Astyanax mexicanus: one gene and its partner. The protein of the gene in region 1 interacts with the protein of each later gene in a biochemical or structural test. Links are inferred from orthologs where the notes say so. Each region holds a gene or a part of one and is shown on either strand. Other genes may lie near its edges.

Evidence for each region.
Region 2: the proteins of blnk (region 1) and cd79a form a complex in vitro, tested with the Homo sapiens proteins (2 studies listed by BioGRID). The link is inferred for Astyanax mexicanus from reciprocal best matches to the Homo sapiens genes BLNK and CD79A.

What each region holds. Positions count from the first base shown.
Region 1 is NC_064414.1:41,072,987-41,083,052, reverse strand, and holds the start of blnk (B-cell linker protein), read right to left. Parts: upstream 4,243-10,066; 5' UTR 4,182-4,242; coding exon 4,113-4,181; intron 3,687-4,112; coding exon 3,624-3,686; intron 1-3,623. UniProt on the Homo sapiens protein: Functions as a central linker protein, downstream of the B-cell receptor (BCR), bridging the SYK kinase to a multitude of signaling pathways and regulating biological outcomes of B-cell function and development.
Region 2 is NC_064408.1:109,120,786-109,130,482, forward strand, and holds the start of cd79a (B-cell antigen receptor complex-associated protein alpha chain), read right to left. Parts: upstream 4,549-9,697; 5' UTR 4,368-4,548; coding exon 4,322-4,367; intron 1-4,321. UniProt on the Homo sapiens protein: Required in cooperation with CD79B for initiation of the signal transduction cascade activated by binding of antigen to the B-cell antigen receptor complex (BCR) which leads to internalization of the complex, trafficking to late endosomes and antigen presentation.

The DNA of each region.
Region 1 (10,066 bases):
ATGTGCAAAAAACATGTAAAAATCTCTTAATTTAATCGTGGGTATGTTTTGGGTGTTATGGTAAATAAACCAGTCAGCATTTCACTTGCCATTCCATTTAAGAGCCAGGTATGCTCTGACTTTGGTGCATTGATATTTTAACAGCTCAGTGTTTTGCACATCTTTGTAGAGGATACTGACCTGCTTGTTCACACTGTAATGGTGCACCACCAGTTAATTTATGGAAACAGCAGTGTTAGTTTATTCTTTATTCTGTTTATTGTTGAGGTAAAAGCAGGATTTGCCCACTGCAGCTCGTTCGTGTGTGTGTAAGGAGCGGGGGTGTAGGTGTGCTGAGCTAAGAGAAGAATGGACGACTATTGACTGTTGTCAGGGTTTAAATCGATCAGTGGCGCACCTGTGTTTTCCACCACCAAGATAGAAACACTTTAGAAATTTTCTGAACACACCGCACTTCCAGACCACTGTGCCCATCAGTGTAGATGTATTCATAAACTCCTGATGCTATTTTAACAGTGCAGAAGCAAGGCGTGAAAATAGACTGTTGCCGTGCCTTGCTCAGGATGTATAATAGAGCCAATAGCATTTAGAAAAACAAATCCTGACCATATAAAGACATCAGTGACCACATATATACATATATACAATTGCGTACATTGTTGTTTTATTTTATAAACTATGGATTTCTCCCAAATTCCAAATACAAATATTGTCATTTAGAGCATTTATTTGCAGAAAATAAGAAATAACAAAAAAGATGCAGAGCTTTTATATTATAATGTTTTAAGAGTCCAGAAATCAATATTTGGTGGGATAACCCTGCTTTTTAATTACAGTTTTCATGCATCTTGGCATGTTCTCCTCCACCAGTCTTACACACTGCTTTTGGATAACTTTATGTCACTCCTGGTGCAAAAATGTAAGCAGTTCAGCTTGGTTTGATGGCTTGTGGTATTTCTCTTGATTATATTCCAGAGGTTTTTAATTTGGTAAAATCAAAGAAACTCATCATTTTTAAGTGGTCTCTTATTTTTTTTCAGAATTGTATTTTATACATATCCCTTTGTAAAAATCTGAGCGTTTAATGTTTTTCATAATTGTATTCACTACTATTGTCACTTATTTAGTAAATCTTGTTGTTTTATTTTATTGTAATTGTGTTGTTGCTGTTTTTATTGTAATGCTTTGGCAATATTGTTGGCAGTACAGTCATGCCAATAGAGCTTCTTTAAATCTGAATTAAGTCATTTCACCTCATAGACCAAGCACTTCCCTAATTTCACTTTTTGTGTTGTGCTGCATTCTCAGCCTAATTTGCATGTCTGACCAAACCAACTGACCAGTTCACATTTGAATAAATCAGACAGATTTTATGGTAAAGCGTTTATCGCAGGAAAGGGTTATGACAGGGTGTTTTAGTGACTTCATCATAAAAGCCCATGTGTTACACATTTCCTAGCAGAGGAAGTGCCATTATTCTGTCATCTCACTTCCCTAATCACACTCTTTTTTTTACTTTTTCACAACTTTTATCTTTTTTTAATTCTCATCACCTGTAATGATCTATCAGTGACTTCCCTGCTAACGAACACTTTCATCTTTCATAATCCTTTGAACATTAAAGAGACTGAAGTTGAGGTAAGATTAGCTGGTGACAAGATTAATTAGGAATTGGTAGCAGATCTTGTTTTTTTCTGTTGATAAAAAAAAATCAAACTTTGATATTTTATAAAGAAACAAACTGAAAATGAAACATTTAGCTAAACCTCCGTGATCCGTTTCTGTTCTGTTGTGTAATTTTAACCTGCCGAGGCCTGATAAAGGCACTGACTGAATAACAACACAGAGTACAAACAGTGTGTGTACTGTGGGTAAGCTTTATATATTAATCTAAAGGGATTGGGAGCAAGGTATTGCCATTTTTCTAAAATGTAACTACACCCCTTAGGGGAAATGTAGTGCAGGAAAATTGAATTCATCTTACAAAATGTAATGGAGTAGACAAGTGTAGTCAAGTCCTCAGGGACCAGTCAGTCCCCATTTCTACTCTATCATAGTTCCAGCACATCTGTAGCAGAAACTCTGGGTTTTTGTTCATTTGGTTCAGGGAAATGGAAAAGTAGCAAATCCCAATTAGTACTGCATGTCTTATATTGATTGTTAACCACGTTAGCATGCATGATCTTTTGTGAGTGTTCTTTAAATGAAAGTCCAGTCTGGTATTTTACACCGCTGTATTGCTGTTTAATTAAATTAAACTTTATCGGTATTATACTCATACTGGGTTGTACAGTACAAGTTCTCCAGAACAGAGGACAAAAGTGCAAAGATAGACATTAGATGCATAAATACTATTTACGAACAAAAGTCTTCATTTGAAATGTATGTAAACAGAAAATAGATATTTGCATGAATTTGACCATATATATATATATATACTCCTCTTAAAAAGAAAAAGAGATCACTTCAGTTTCTGAATCAGTTTCTCTGATTTTGCTATTTATAGGTATATGTTTGAGTAAAATGAACATTGTTGTTTCATTCTATAAACTACAGACAACATTTCTCCCAAATTACAAATAAAAATATTGTCATTTAGAGCATTTATTTGCAGAAAATGAGAAATGGCTGATATTAACACAACAGATGCAGAGCTTTCAGACCTTCTTAGCATGTTCTCCTCCACCAGTCTTACACTCTGCTTTTGGATAAATTTAGGCCACTCATGGTGCAAAAATTCAAAAATTCATCATGAATGGGCCCCGCACATAAGCCTGCAAGGTAAGAGGCCTTGCGGACGGCCAAAGAAGTGGTGGATGGACCAGATAAGAGAAGACATGTAATACGCATGCGTCGCCCTTGAAAGCGCCCTGCATCGAACAAAATGATGACGAGCATCCAAACACACGGACCCCACCCTCGAGTGGGACTAAATACGAGGAGGAAGAAGAAGAAGATTCGCTGTTACTGGGCTCAAGCCTTTTATCTTAAAAAAATTAAGCTCTCAAATTCAGTGCAGAGCAGCTTCTCTTCACCTGACTCCAAACTGCAGCTCTGATTCAAACACACTTATCAGCTTCCTGCTCTGTCTGATGCTCCAAAATGACAAAAACAACAAAACCAGGGGATTTAATTGCCCAGATGATATTTAAGTGTAGATTATACTGATATTAATCAAGTAAATATGTACTATGTTGTGTTTGGGCACTTGTGGAGACTTGTGAGTGAGTGGGGAGGGGGGGGTGGACAACTCAGATTATTTCAGGTTAGATAGTATAAATCGTATTATTTGATAAGATACGTACACATAGCATGTTAACACTTCTCAGTAAAGGTATATAGGACGGTAATAAACATTTTTTTATTATTAACTGACATTAGTTAACATATTTTTTAATATGTTCATTACAATATAATTTAACTGCTTATGTTTTATATAAATATTGAGTTCATTAAATTGTTACTATTATTAATACTGTCTCAACTAGTGTCAATTAATGCCTAGATGAGACATTCTGTTGTAAGTACAGTACATAACTGTTAAGTAATGTAGTCTTATTGTAAAGTGTTAGAAAGCTTAATTAGCCCCATTTAGCACCATGTAGTCATTTATTTCTTCTTACCAGAAACCAGCGGCCATCAATCTTCATCCTCTGTACTGTTAAAGCACACTCTCGCATCTTGTTCTGTTCGAAAAATATAAATAATATTGCACCTCTGTAACAGTTCTTAAACCACACACACACTCACACACATGCACACACCATATTTAAAATGCAGTTCACGTGTGGTGAAAGCTCGGGCTGTGCTCAATGTGCTTATCTGTTCTCTCATCTGTGAAAGGGAAACAAGCTTGACTTTCTATAACCACTAATTTTGCGTATAGTTAAAGGTCAGGACAGTTGTTAACACACTTAAATAAGAGTATATTATATGGTTAAGTATCTTCTGTTAGTTTATTAAGTGTGTTTTTAGTAAAGGAAAGTACAGTCCCTATGTTATCTGACTGCGTGTTACAGATGTGTCAGATAGAGATTGTGTTGAAAATGCTGCAGAATGTTCAGCACAGTTCCTGAGGAGAAATCCTAAAGACCACTTCTCTGATCTCTTACCTGAGTCAGGAAAAGGGCCACCTGAGCCGGACCCCAGTCCTCAAACTGCTCCCTGGTCGGCAGACTCATCTCAGCCTCGGCTACTCCACTAACGCTGCGTGAACTGCTCTGACAGGAACTGCCGGACAGGAGGTGCTGATTGTAAGTATGCTGCAACCAAGCTTGACATAATGTGGGAAGTGTGGGAAGTTCCTCTTGCCTCTATGCTCGTCTGTCTTTCTGTCCATCTGTCTGTACGTCTACTAAATTCTCTTTCTTTTTCTCTCTCTTTATATCTAGGAGTTTCCAGCTGTTGCATGTAGTGTTGTCCTGACTTGCACAATCCACTGCTTTAGCATTCATTCATGAAGAAAGATGGAGGGTCATCCTCTGGAGGATTATTAGAAACTGTCTGCACAACTTTATTTATTTATTAACAATATGGTTTTATCCTATAAACTATATATAACTACGGATAACCCTGGTTTTTAATCTCAGTTCTCATGCATTTTGGCATGTTCTCCTCCACCAGTCTTACACACTGCTTTTACATAACTTTATGTCACTCCTGGTGCAAAAATTCAAGCAGTCCAGATTGGTTTGTTGGCTTGTGATGATCCCAATTTTTAAGTGGTCTAAAATTTTTTTCCAGAGCTGTATATAAATACACAACAACTAAAATGTGTTAAATTGAATCTCACATGAAATAAAAACTGCCTGCACCACTTTATTTATGTATATAATTTGGTTTTATTCTATAAACTATAACACTGGATAACGCTGTTTTTTAATCACAGTTTTCATGTATCTTGGCATGTTCTCCTCCACCAGTCTTACACCCTGCTTTTAGATAACCTTATGTCATTCCTGGTGCAAAAAGTCAAGCAGTTTAGCTTGGTTTGATGGCTTGTGATCATCCATCTTCCTCTTGATTATATTCCAGATGCTTTCAATTTGGTCATTATTTTTAAGTGGTCTCTATTTTTTTTCCAGAGCTGTATATAAATACACAACAACCAAAATGTGTTTAATTAAAACTCACATTAAAGTAAAATGAATATTTTCATTGGTGAATTTAATGTATAAAACATAACATTTAACAACACAAGAGTTTATATTTTAGACTTTATTTAACATCCTCTTCCTGTATGACGTAATATATAATCATTGTTAACACATTATTTAATCCACACATAAAACAGATCTCTAAAGTGTTCATTTAAGCTAACAATGTTTTTTTTTTTGGTTAGTAGAACATTTTCTGAACATTTTAGTTAACATTCTTTAAACATTTTATCTGTCAAGTATTTTGGATGTTCTTATAACATTTTTAAACGTTCTGGTAACGTTGCTGAAACAACACTGTCAATGTTTTAATTTTAAGCTTTGGCAATGCTACTTTTAGTAAGGTTTCCATCTAGCTTGGAACATTATATGATAAATGTTCTAATAACATTGTGATGCAAACCATTATTTTGGTCACACGTTTTCAGACCTTTTCTAGAAAATAATTTCTCTAACCTTCCTGGAACCTTTTCAAAACCTTGCTAAACAATCTTAGAATTTTCTCTTTAAGCTGTTTTTTTATTTACTTTTGTATTCTATTATTGTCCATTTGTTAACACACACCCTGTTACATTTCCAAAACTATAAAAGACAGTTCCCACGAGAAATACATACAATCAAATGAAAATGCTGAGTAAATGATTAGAAGGTTATGAAAGAAGTTAGTTATTTAAGCCAAGCAAACTTTATTTAGTTTTTTTTTGTTTGTTTAAATATTAAAGAAACATAATGCAAAAAATAATAAATCCTGCACCTACTGTTACTACTGTTTACTATTGTTTTTGTTTTATTCTATAAGCTATGGATAACATTTTTACCTTGATCAGTTTTCATGCATCTTGGCATGTTCTCCTCCAACAGTCTTACACACTGCTTTTGGATAATTTTATGCCACTCCTGGTGAAAAAATTCAAGAAGTTCAGCTTGGTTTGATGGCTTGTGATAATCCATCTTCCTCTTAATTATACTCCAGATGTTTTTAATTTGGTAAAATAAAAGAAACTCATCTTTTTTAAGTGGTCTAATTTTTTTCCCAGAGCTGTATATATACACCACAACTAAGATGTGTTTAAATAAAAATTAATAAACTAAAATAAAATATAAAATAAAGTAATTGATTTATTTAAGGTTGATTTCAAATGGTTAATATATGCACAGAAGTGTACTATGGTAGATTTTTTCCCTTTTAAAGCTCCATACCACCAATATGAGAATGGGAAACGAAAGGCACAGCATGGTATCGGACGCTCGCTCTCTAAACGCTCATTTCACGCTCAGATGCAGAAGTGAGCACATTGAGGTAGAGAGTGGAACACATAGAGCAGAAATATACCTGACTTCTAAGCAAGTCTATATTGGTGCTTTCACTTCTGATCAGGGCTGAGTGACCACAAGAGCTGAGGCATTAAAATGAGCAGCATGCTCTGGGTTACTGTTTAAAAATAAAAATAACTATAGCCACTTCTAAAATCCCCCTGTTGTTTATTTTAACACATATGAGATAAAGGTCAGGGTGTTAAAAGTGATAAAGTAAACTGTGAATTTAATTTCAATTTTAAAAAATTGCCATCGTTTATAGACATTTTAGAATTGTAGACTAAAAAAAACACTAAAACAACACTTCAGAATAAATACTTTCTGTAAAGTACATACTGAAATGACAGACATATAATTAGTAGATAAATAATCAGACAGACTGCCATATCCAGAATTGTTTTTTTTTGTATATTTCATACACACATATCTGGATCATTGGTCATCCCATGACAACAAAAAGATAGACAACTGTAACTACATTACAAGTGTATGTAGTACATTTTACTGCATACAACTTTCCACCAGTGGTTGAACAGTAGCATTAGCATTAGCTGCTATTTCCCTGTGCAGAGGTGAGTATTATCAGCCTGTAGCCTGCTGCCAACCCTGGCTTGCACTGCTAGAGCAGTATTGGCATTAGCTGCTATCTGTGCTAGCTATTTCATTGTTCAAAGGTTAGTATATTGGACTGTTGTTTGTGCGTTGTCTACCGTGTTAAAACAGGGTACGTGGGACGAACTGTTTTAGGTGTTCTAGGTGATATTGCCCTGGCTATTACCCGGAACACTCAGGGTTCGTCAGTGTAGCTCAGGCGGCATTAGTCGCTAACCACTAGCAGTTAGCTGTTAATGCTAAGGCTCCAGCCTTAGTACTTGAAAAATTTGGGAATCTAAGCTCACTGTAAATAAACAGAAGCACTTTACTCACCCAAATAAACAGTTTTCAGGAGAGGAATGTGTGTAGATTAACATCCAGTGCTTGTTTGACAGTTTTGTTTACTTAGCTTAGCTTTACTTAACTTAGTTAGCTACCCGCCACCACCACACAGTGGCGAGACCTGCTGAATTAGAAGTTCCTTATAGTGTCTCTTTAAATGCGCCTTATAATCCAGTGCAATTTATGTATTAAAATAGACCAGAAAAATAGACGTTTGTTGATAGTGTGCCTTATAATCCTGTGCGCCTTATAGCGTGAAAAATATGGTAATCTGTTTCATATAGTTCTATAATTACAGACTGTAGTCCTGTATCTGTTTCTCTGCATATTTTATTATTCTTCTTTCACCCTGTTCTTCAATGCTCAAGACCCCACAGCATCACCCTAGTGCAGGTATCATTTGGATGGTGAATCCTTCTCATCACTGCACTGATACTGACATGGTGGTGGTGTGTTAGTTACTCTGTGTGTTGTGCTGATACAGTACAAGTAGATCAAACACAGCAGTGCTGCTGGAGTTTTTAAACAATGTACCCACTGTGTCACTGTCCACTCTATTATACACTCCTATCTAGCTGCTCCACCTTGTAAATGTAAAGTCAGAGACACTGCCCACAGGATGCTGTTGGCTGGATATTTCTGGTTGGTGGACTATTTTCAGTAAAGCACTGACATTGAGGTGTTTAAAAACTCCAGCAGCACTGCTGTGTCCCATCCACTCATACGAGAACAACACACACTAACACCTCATAAACCACCACCATGTCAGTGTCACTGCAGGGCTGAGAATAATGACCCACCACCCAAAATATCACCTGCTCCGTGGTGGTTCTATGGGGTCCTGTTCATGAAAGAACAAGAGGCTAACAAAAAGTATGCAGAGAAACTTGTTATGGACCTACAAAATGCTGCTATATGGTCAGTGGAGCTGATAAAATTGACAACTATTGCAGAAATAAGGAGATGGTATTTATGTTATAGCCCATCTGTGGCCTTATCTAAGGCTCTAGGACTCCAGGAAACCACAGAGAGAGAGTCATTATCTCCAAATGGAGAGTGCTGAATCTCCCTGAATTACTAAAACTCTTCCAGAAGTGTAGATAAGGAGCCTGGTAGAGTGCGAGCAAGGAAAATGGTCTCCACAGCACAGCTGCAAGCCAAAAAGCACTGCTAATCAAGAGGAACATCAAAGACTTTTCTCTCCATTTGCCAAAACACACCTTAATGACCCCCACCAATCTTTCTGGAATAATTTAGGCTACTGTGGACTGCTGAGCCAAAAGTGAAAGTTTTGGAATAAAGCCATTTTAAGTCAATTTCAGAGATGCAGCAGCAAGAAAGAGGCTTGTGCAAATGCACACAGAGTAGGAAAAAACATAAAAATTTACCAAATGTACAAGTACTATGAATTTACACTGTGGTTTGCTTCTAATTCCGTCATACAGATATGTCTCAGGTTGATAAAGTTCATACATGAGTGTTAAAACTGGGTATTTGAACTGTATTGTGCAAACACATTTTAATGTAATTTACATTTATATGAAAAATGGCACCCCTATTAATCTTAATTATTTTTAGTTCTAAATATTTGGGTGTTTGCAACAGCCATTTCAGTTTGATATATCTAATAACTGATGGACACAGTAATATTTCAGGATTGAAATGATTGTATTAACAGAAAATGTGCAATATGCATTAAACCAAAATTTGACCGGTGCAAAAGTATGGGCACCCTTATCATTTTATTGATTTGAACTTCATAGCCAGGTGTATCCAATCATGAGAAAAGGTATTTAAAGTGGCCAATTGCAAGTTGCTCTCCTATTTGAATCTCCTCTGAAGAGTGGCATCATGGGCTCATCAAAACAACTCTCAAATGATCTAAAAACAAAGATTGTTCAACATAGTTGTTCAGATGAAGGATACAAAAGATTTAACCTGTCAGTTTCCACTGTGAGGAACATAGTAAGGACATGGAAGACCACAGGGACAGTTCTTGTTAAGCCAAGAAAAATATCAGAAAGGCAGAGAAGAAGAATGGTGAGAACAGTCAAGGACAATCCATAGACCACCTCCAAAGAGCTGCAGCATCATCTTGCTGCAGATGGTGTCACTGTGCATCGGTCAACAATACAGAGCACTTTGCACAAGAAGCTGTATGGGAGAGTGATGCGAAAGAAGCCATTTCTGCAAGCAGAGTCGCCTGAGGTATGCAAAAGCAAAAGCACACCTCAGGCGACTCTGTTCGTTATCTAACAACCACCTAGCAACCACTTAGAAACCACTGTGTCACTGATGGACTAAGAATAAGTGACCTGTGGGTAGTGTTATGTGGGCAGCATCCTGTGCTGTGGGACGCAACCTGTGACCGAATGAAGGACTAAAGAATGACCAACACAAACTGTGCAAAAATAGTTTCAGAGCTTCTGTCTAGGTAGGAGTGGAGGAAATAGAGTGGAGGAAAGTGAGTGAACATGTGTTTAAAAACTCTAGCAGCACTGCTGCGCTGAGAATGACCCACCAACCAAATAACACCTGCCCTGTGGTGGTCCAGTGATGTCTTGACCATTAAATAACAGGGTGAAAGGAGTATAGTAAACCATGCAGAGAAACAGATACAGGACTGCAGTCTACTACAGTAATTATACTACAAACTA
Region 2 (9,697 bases), on another chromosome or scaffold:
AACTATGTAGCAAATACGTTTACTAAAATATTGATTTTTTTCCCATTGCATTGTAAGCCTGTTTATAATTGTAAAATTTTATATTTCATTTAGACCTTTTTGATTTCATAAACCATAGCAAAACAGTAAAAAACTATGCTATGCTAATAGCTATGTATACAAGATCAAGGACAAACATGGTTATATAAGTATATAAAGAATAATTTGACTCTACTCAATATTAGTCTTACAATATGAGTAACAGGGTTGCGTTCACTGAGTGACACACACAACTTGGACAAACATATTTGGGGGAAAAAAAACTTGAAAATTGTTAGAGCACCTACTCTTGGTCTTGCCATGTGGGCAGAAAATGTCCTTGTGATGTAACTTCCTTTGTGCCAGTAGACAAATATTTTTATCTCTTTCTCTGCCAGGTAAAATTCCTTATGGTAACAGGGTTGCACGCATGTTGTGGGACACAACTTAATAGCATAAAAACTGTAACATGCAATACGATGTAGAACAAAGAAGTTGTTTTCATAAGTAAAGGAGATGCATATCAACAATATACAAGAGGAAGTCATTTATTTAGAGCTTATTTTAATTGTTAAATTAAAGAGAAAATGGCCATTTTTTTGAGGTGGTCCAAAGGTATTCGGTCTTTTGAATAATATCTAAGGAGCTTATTTTTCCACCATATTTTACAGTTTGTCCTATAACAAGTACATTTTTCACAAAAAATAGTCATTTAGATATTTTAGATACCTACATTTGAAGTTTAAGTGGTGGGACAGGAAATGTTCCAAAATCCTGGAATGTCCCTTATTCAGTTGTATTGTTAAGAAATATTAAAAATTAAATGTAGGCTTTCAGTTAATTATGCATAATTACATTTAATCCAAAACCCTTACTATGAGTAAGAGAATGACGTGTTATGTAAATAATCTTGTTTGTGTGAACCCAAGTAGTGAGTTGTTTTTAGATATTGGACCTGAACTGTGTATGTGGGTGAGTGTGCAAAGGACAGTTAGGCTGACACCTCAAAACTGAATGTCCAGTCTGTAGTTTGTAATGCAAAAGTCAGCACCTAAGCAGCAGAGGTGAGGCCAGAGTACAGGTAGAGAACAGTAGTAATCATAGATTGTGTTTTAACTCAATCAGTTAGAAACAGTTGCTGAGGAACCGCTTAACTGACCTTTGCACAGGATGGCTGGATGGGGTTTTGGGTGATACAAGGTCTTGCAAATGTAAGGATCACTGAACTTCTTCTACTGAAACTCTGTCTGAGTGGAAGGGGTTCCCAGAGCTCTGTTGTAATAAATTGCTAATTTGCTGAAGATCTAAGTATCCTGTCTCTCTATCAACTCTACTTCGGGCTTCCATCAAAAGAATCAAGGGGAACGCACTGGAGCAGTTGAGGGTAGTGCTGATTTTCCCAACAGTATGTAGTATTGAAAGCCTCAAGTCTTACCGAATTTAATTGTTTATGACGTTCTTGAAAAAGCATCGAACCTTTAAAGTTCTATGCCTTGTGTAACTTTAATTCACCTGCTTGTATATTGGGTATATATACCCAAGTCTCCCGGAAGTTGAGGGAGTCTACCCCATATCAATAATGGCTCCCTGATAAGCGCAAGTCAGATAAAATCTCCCAGAATCTGAATCAAGTGGCCCAAGAGTGAACACAAACGTGCGTACAGTTGACAGACTTTTTTCCCCAATCACACGTGTGAAAGAGAAGGAGAAAACAGGCTTTTATCATATTTTCTCTCCAATATCTGGGGTGGGTTTCCCGAAAGCTTCGTAACGCTAAGAACTTCGTTAACTCGTACTTAAGATTGATCGTTAATTAAAGAGTGTTTCCCAAACCCGTGCGTAACTAAAGTACTACGTAAACTCTCTCGCAGATTAACGAGTGCTCTCACCCAGTCGTTATTTTTAACGAGCTTCTTTAGGGGATCTCGACTTGCAGTTCAGCACCTTAAACACCAGGGACCGCCAATTTTGAGGAAGAAAAATGATAATTTCCGTGTTTGAAGCAATTATATTACATTACTATTAATCATAATCAATTATATTACTATATAATTATTAATATTAATATATTATATTATATTACTATTAATTATAATCAATTATATTACTATATAATTATTATTATATTATATAATTATTATATTATATTACATTACATTATATTATATTATATTATATTATATTATATTATATTATATTATATTATATTATATTATATTATATTATATTATATTATATTATATTATATTATATTATATTATATTATATTATATTATATTATATTATTTCCCGTGTCTGCGGGTGCTCCGGTTTCCTCCCACAGTCCAAAGAAATTAGTTCAGTCTAATTAGATGTCGGATAAAAATTGCCCCTTAGGTGTGAGTGAATGTGTCTGTGTGTCTGTCTGTGTCTGTCTGCCCTGTGATGGATTGGCATCCTGTCCAGGGTGTATACTGCCTTCAGCCCGATGCCAGCTGGTATAGACTCCAGCCACTCACCCCCTTCCCGCCCCCCCCCCCCCCCCCCCCCCCCCCCCCGCGTCCCTTAACGGATAAAGCGGTTGACGAGTGAGTAAATGAGTGAATAAGTTATATTATATTATATTATATTATATTATATTATAATGCCAACTGTGGCTTGTAGTCTAACTGGGCAATCAAACCCACGAGTAAATTATTTAAATCCAGATTAGCGATGATAGAAGTCTTGACATTAATGCTGCAAGAAATGCAATCAGTCAATTCCTGCAGATGATGCTCACGGTCTAAGCAAAGCTGCAAAGTCACCAAGTTCATCTGGGCAAACTCTGGGGTGTGTCAGCTCGCAAATATCAGTCAAAAGTTGGACACGTCTCATTCCATGTTTTTTTTTTTTTTTTACATTGTCGATTAATATTAAAACCATGAAAACTAATTGACGCAAATGGAATTAGTAGACAAAAAGGTGCATGGCTTTGACAATCCCCTGACATAAACCCAACTGAGATGGTGATTTAGGATGAGCTGGAGCTTCACAGTATAAAGTACAAAACATATTTCTGTTGGTTTAAAATGTAATATATATATATATATATATATATATATATATATATATATATATATATATATATATATATATATATATATATATATATGTGTGTGTGTGTGTGTGTATATATATACACACACAGGAACATATGTATTATTATATTATTTTTATAATACACAAAAATTAGAATAATAATAAATTAATATTACTATCAATATTACTGTTAATAATATTAGTATAATATATATTAATATAATATATATTAACAATAATAGTTTTAAAAATGTAAAAATAAGTTTAATGTTTTAAAATAGATTAGATTTTCGAGTATTTATTTAGTCATATGTATCTTTAGGAGTATAATGTTGTTAATTACAACACATTTCTACGTTTTTAGGGTGTAATAGTGAATAAATACTGCATATTGCAGTGTTGAATCGATATTTGTGGATCGATTGAGCGCGCTGTTTCGGGGGAGGAGTCAACAAAGATGTTCTTTAACCTCGTTCGTTAATTTTCACGTTGCGAAGCTCTTTGGGAAACACTCGCAGAACTGGCTCGTTCTTTACACACGTCATTCGTTAGTTCGTTCGTTATTCGCTAAGATTGATCGTTTTCGGGAAACCCACCCCAGATCTCTTAAAAACAAACTGGATCTAAAAGCACCTTATTACACCTTATAATGCCTTATGCTTTTTAAATAGTCATATATGGGGTCAGTATTTAAGCTAGCCATGCTAGCTTTTTAGCAGGGTGTCATTTCACAGGGGTTATTCAAGCTTTCACATGCAACTAATTTTTTGTCTCCCACATAAACTAATCTAAAATCACTTTAACAATCCACACAGAAGAAGAATTTTTGATTGTGCACATTTTATGGCCTGTAACAGTGAATAAACTGAAATATGACACTGTTCAGAGGCCTGGAACATCTGCTCAGAAGGAGATAAGCTCCACTGAAGCAAGACAGGAACTAGTGTCTCTGAACTGTGGCTGATGAGACCAAGGCAAATAAAACTAAACAGACTAAGCTCAATACAGTTATGTAGTAATACAGTTAAGTAGTAATGTATTGAAGACTCCTCATTAACCCAAGATAACAAAAACAAGCCTTAAAACATTCTTCAGAAGTTGCAGGTACAGCACCTTGTACCTCTTTACATATTGGTAACAATTTAGTTTAGCCAATAATAAAACACTGTAAATTAGCTGAGGCAGTTTTCCAATTAACAGGAAATGTCAATTAAAACCAATAAAATTACTTTTTCATACGTACCTGCCAGGAGACACAGCAGAACCACAATGCTTGCTTCCATCTTCATCTTCTGTACTTCAAACACAGAGTCCAGTAAAACAGTGACTTAAATGCCACTTCCTCGCTGTATAACAAGTCTTTTTTCTGTTCACTCCCACTCATTTGTTTTTTTCCCTTCCCCACCACTCAACTTCTGTCATTTCTCTTTTCTTCTCCTTAATATGGTAATATTTTAGCTTAATATATATTGGGGTTTAATAAATACAAACATATATATTTGTAAATTAACTATTTACATTAATAAGGTGACAAAACTGCACTTATTGAGAATTTTAGCAAGGTATTTTTATTCTATAAACTACAAGACTTGTACTGTACAATCCTGTAATTTTACCTCAGAATACAACATGCTAACTTTCTTAATGGTGGCTCTGTGGAAAAACAATGAACTTTGCTTTGATTGGCCAGTTCATAGAACTGCCTAGTCTAGCCTAACACTGTAACAGTGCCACTATGACATGTTTATTTTCCTTGACTCTTTACAAAGGTAGCTTTAAAGGTGCTGCCATCTTTTTTGGACCGTTTGGAGTCTTCTTGTTGCAGCAATTACCTGGCTTGCCTCTACTGGGTTAGCTTTTAGCCTTGCACCCACCTTACCACCTTGCATACAGACTGACATTCACTGTCAGCATGTCATGTTAGTATTTAGCATTTTTAACCTATAAGGAATTCAATGTTCTCTCAAAGTAGTTGTTGCGTTGAACTTTCCAGAATTTCCCTCTGAAATCAATAAAGTATCTCTTTCTATCTATCTAAAAATGCATTCTCTAGTGCAAAAGGTTTCATGTATGTTGGGGTGCAAATATGAGTCAAGGCTATTTTGGAATATTTTAGCGAGTTTTGGAATTGACTTGTTGCACAGCTGTTTGGCAACACATTTTAAAGTATGTTGCCTCCATGTTGCAAATTTTAATTAGTTAACTATTATATATTATTTCACTATGACCAAATATTCTTTTCCAGGGTGTCTTTTATTAAATAAAAGCTAACTGATAAAGAGCATTTTTAGAGGATTTATTTGGTAACTACTTTTAAATTGATATGTTGCTATGAGGAGTATGAAATCAAAGCATAGATTTACACACATACTTTGCTTTTTATGACTTATGGTATTTCTATTCTAGGGCACTTTATTTCCTTATTTTAAATAATTAATTTTTCTCCATATTTCTTTTTATGTTTTTCCCCATAACCAAGCTGCCAGTTTGCCTGGAATGTCTCAGATAACTGTTAAATGAACACTTAATCATTCACGCGCATACCACAAGTTACAAGACAGAAACCAGTATTGTGTCCCGTGACTTTTGCCATGTCCTATAGAAGGTAAAGGACACTGCACGAACCTACTGTGGATCCACTTGACACCCACTATCAGGCCTAATTGGAACTCTTGCCTTGCTATGAGCACACTGGAAATGTTTACCCTCACTCACAAGATATCACCTCACACAACTGTAGGTGTTCCAAGGGTACAGTTTTGCATTGTCAGTATATGTGAAAGCATATTATAAACACACGCACACATCATAATTTAAAGACAAACTGCTGTTTTAAATCATTTATTTAAAAAAAAAAAAAAAGGGAAATTACAGTAATAATAAAAAAGTACCTCAATTCCATTAAAGTATCTTACATAATAAAATGAAAAGCCCAAATACACAGAATAGTTCTTGCATAATCATTTCTAAAGATTGACAGCAGAGGGATGAGCGACAATTTTACATAATTGTCACAAAGAAAATGTACACAGCATTTATGTGAAAGAAGCAGAAAATGTGGCTAAAACCAATGTGACTCTAAAACTGCATTATATAAAATGTTACAACAAATGCTTTGCTAATTTGTGAAGCTTGTGAGGGCTTAAATTTGGGTGGGGGTGGATACATGGCAGGCAAAACACCCTGCAGATGTGGAACTGAAACATCTGCTGATGATGAAAAAGAGGAAGAGCACCACTAGGTTCACTAGTCAGCCCTTGAGACAGAATAAAGAAAAAAAAAAGAAAAAAATTCAGCATGAGCCACCCTGCATTATAAATAGATTCATACATATCAATAAGAGTGTGTGTGTGTGTGTATATGTGTGTGTTGGTGTGCGTATCTTGGCTAGATAAAAGCATGTTGTGGAGTAAGAAAGAAAGAAACATCACTGAATTCTCTCTTTTTCATCTGAAAAAGTGTAATAGCAAGTCTTTAAGATCCTCTAAGATGCTCGACCTTCCACATATTTATTCTACAGGTCAGGATTTCTTTATATAGTCTAGATCAAGGGAGTTCTTTCTCTCTGACTCCCTCTTACATGAAGGCAATGCATGGTTATTCACTGTAACGCACATTTTCAATTAAATGCTTAAAAAGTTCCCAATCCCCACAACCCATTTTGTTTGCAGTTACTGTAAAACACTTGATAATAAAAGGATGGAGAACTGCACTACAGTATAGATCTGTATTTCAAAAGATTCAGCAACATAATTACACCACAATCCATTTCATCTACTTTGCTAATTACCCTAAGATAACAAGCATATTTGTTGCATGAATGATCCTTTAAAACAAATTCTTTAAATCAGAAAGAGTGGCCATTGCAATGCAAATATACTATATATATATATATTCATATATATAATTTATATTTATATATATATATATATATATATATATATATATATATATATATATATATATATATATATATATATATATATATATATATGGTCATTACAATGACTAGTAACAGTACAGGTGAAACAGCCAGCGATGAGAACAAACTATGAGGCTTGTGTTCTTGTTACAGTTAGACAAGCTTCACTGAAAGGTCACCAAAATCCAACTGTGCTAAAAGGCCATAATAGCACACAGCTCAGCAGATAAACAGTATAGCTAGATTTTAATCACTCCACCAGAGGGCAGTATGGAAAACCTTATGTTTTACATTTTAGACCTAAGATTTTTTTTCTTTATCTGGGTCCTGGGGTAATTTTCTCTTTTATGGGGGTCCTCTGTGATTTTATTCCTGTCCAGAACAACCATCTGTGTTTTTCTGTGTGTTGTAGGATGAATTACTGTTTTTCGCTGAACTCATAAGATAATTTTGAGATGTCTGAGTTTCATCACCTCGCATTTAATAAAATAGCTATTTTCCACTAAAAATCCACCGTAATTACACTTTGGGCGTGCATTTTCCTGAATATCTGCATAAACACAACAGCAAGTGGAAATGGAGGAGCTACTGAACGTAATGTCATGTGACTGAGTAGGCCAAAAAAAAAAAAAAAAAACAACTCACTGATCCTCCTGTTTCTTCAATTGCTGTGCAGATGCAAACGTTTTATCACGGAGTAGAAGTGTGATACTAATCCTTTCTGGATAGGAATTTATACTCACAATATTATAACATCCTCATTGTTTCTACACTCAAAATTAATTCCATCAGCTCCACTGAGCATATAGGAGCACTTTGTAATTCTATAGTTACAGACTTTAGCTCTGTAATCTGATTTTTTGCATTACAGTATTTATTATTCTCCTTTCACCCTGTTCTTCAATGCTAAGGAAACCACAGCACCACCATGAAGCAGATATCCTTCTCAACACTACAGTGATGCTAAGAAAGTATACATAATACTCCTATATGTTTAGAGGAGCTGATCAGAGGGACAATGAATGTAGAAATGTGGAGGTGGTCCTAATATTCTGATATCTGAAGCTCATTTACTTGAAAAGGAATTTCCCTATTTGTACTGTACTGGATCGGTCAATAGGTCAGCTTTATTGGCAAAGACTTGATGGTCCATTTAAGGCAAATTATTAATATAGGACCAAGCAAACAATACTTACTTAAGGCTAATCCTAAATATTACTATCATATAAATCTTTATATATTCTGATTTATAACTCGACCAGCCATAACATTGAAACCACATGCCTAATATTGTATAAATCCCTCTTGTGTTGCTGAAAGAGCCCTGACTGTAAACCCTATAGCCAGCATGTATTATTCAGTAATTTGTCCTTTCTTAGACCCCTTTTCATAGGTTCTATAAGTTTAATTCTTGAAAAAAACTCACAAGACCTTTCTAACGTTTTAGAGATGCTCGGATTCATCTCAAATAGGTTCTTGTCAAAGTGCTTTAGATTCTTACAACTGACCTTTTTTCAGCTTTCAACACATCTTCAGAAACTGACTGTATAGTTCCTCTTCCTTGACATGTGCCAATGTAACTCAATAATCAATGTTACTTCAATGCTCTTTTCCTCTGAGTGGTTTCAATGTTATGGCAGATCAGTCCTTGTTCATATACTGTATAGACTATACTATTCTTCTATATATATCTTTTTATATATATATATTATGTATTCTCACATACATTTGCATTCAGGGTTTGGGAACAGCATGTAAATTAGCCACTGACAATTACAGCCAATATTATGCTTATAAATACTGAATAATTAAGGAATATATCCACCTGATTAAGCTGATTACATCTCTTTGGTCCTGCAAATTTTCAAGACTACCTTTTAAAACTAAACTACAAATCTGAAAACAACGCAATAATTACAATCATAAAAATAGAGAGATACAGAAAGAACGATCATACAGTCGCTGTGTATCTGACCTGACAAAAATGTGTATGTATAAAAAGCATGTAACAAAACCACCCCTTAAACTTTCTGCAACGGTCTCCAAACAAACAGTGCCGCCGACGGAATGTTAGGACCTGAACCCCTGCATGCGCTCTGAGGACATGTGACCTCCAACCACAGTGGATGTGTGTAACTGCTGCACAAAACATCCAATAAAACAACAGCTGTGAGTGTCCGTTATTCTACATGCCTGAAGTCTATTGGAAGCTATAACTGCATTATTTAATATTATATTACTATTACTATAATAATATTAATATCTCGCCATTGTATGGGTATATCAAAGCAAACTTTGGAGGAGTCACCGCTCCAGTTCCACTCCTCCAGTTAACCTACAGTGTCCATCTATTTTCAGTTCCTCATCTCTCCATCAATAAAACCTACTTTCTATTCCTCTTCTTTCTCACTCAAATGCACTCAAAGGCTTTTCTGTAAAGGCAGAGTCTCAAACGGAGTCATGGATCTGAGTAAATATGCACAATAAAGGACTGCTGCAGCACAGTTTACTGATTTCCCTGCTCTAAAAGGCTGTGTTTAGACTGCCACCTCAAATCAACCTCTGATTTTGTGGCCTATCTAGACTTTTTCCCATTTTGAGTTTTGATATTCTGATCAGCCAGAAAACATAAATCAAGTCTGATTTTTGTAACGTAGCACAGGTTCCAAACCGCGTGGTTTTAAACGCGATTACAGT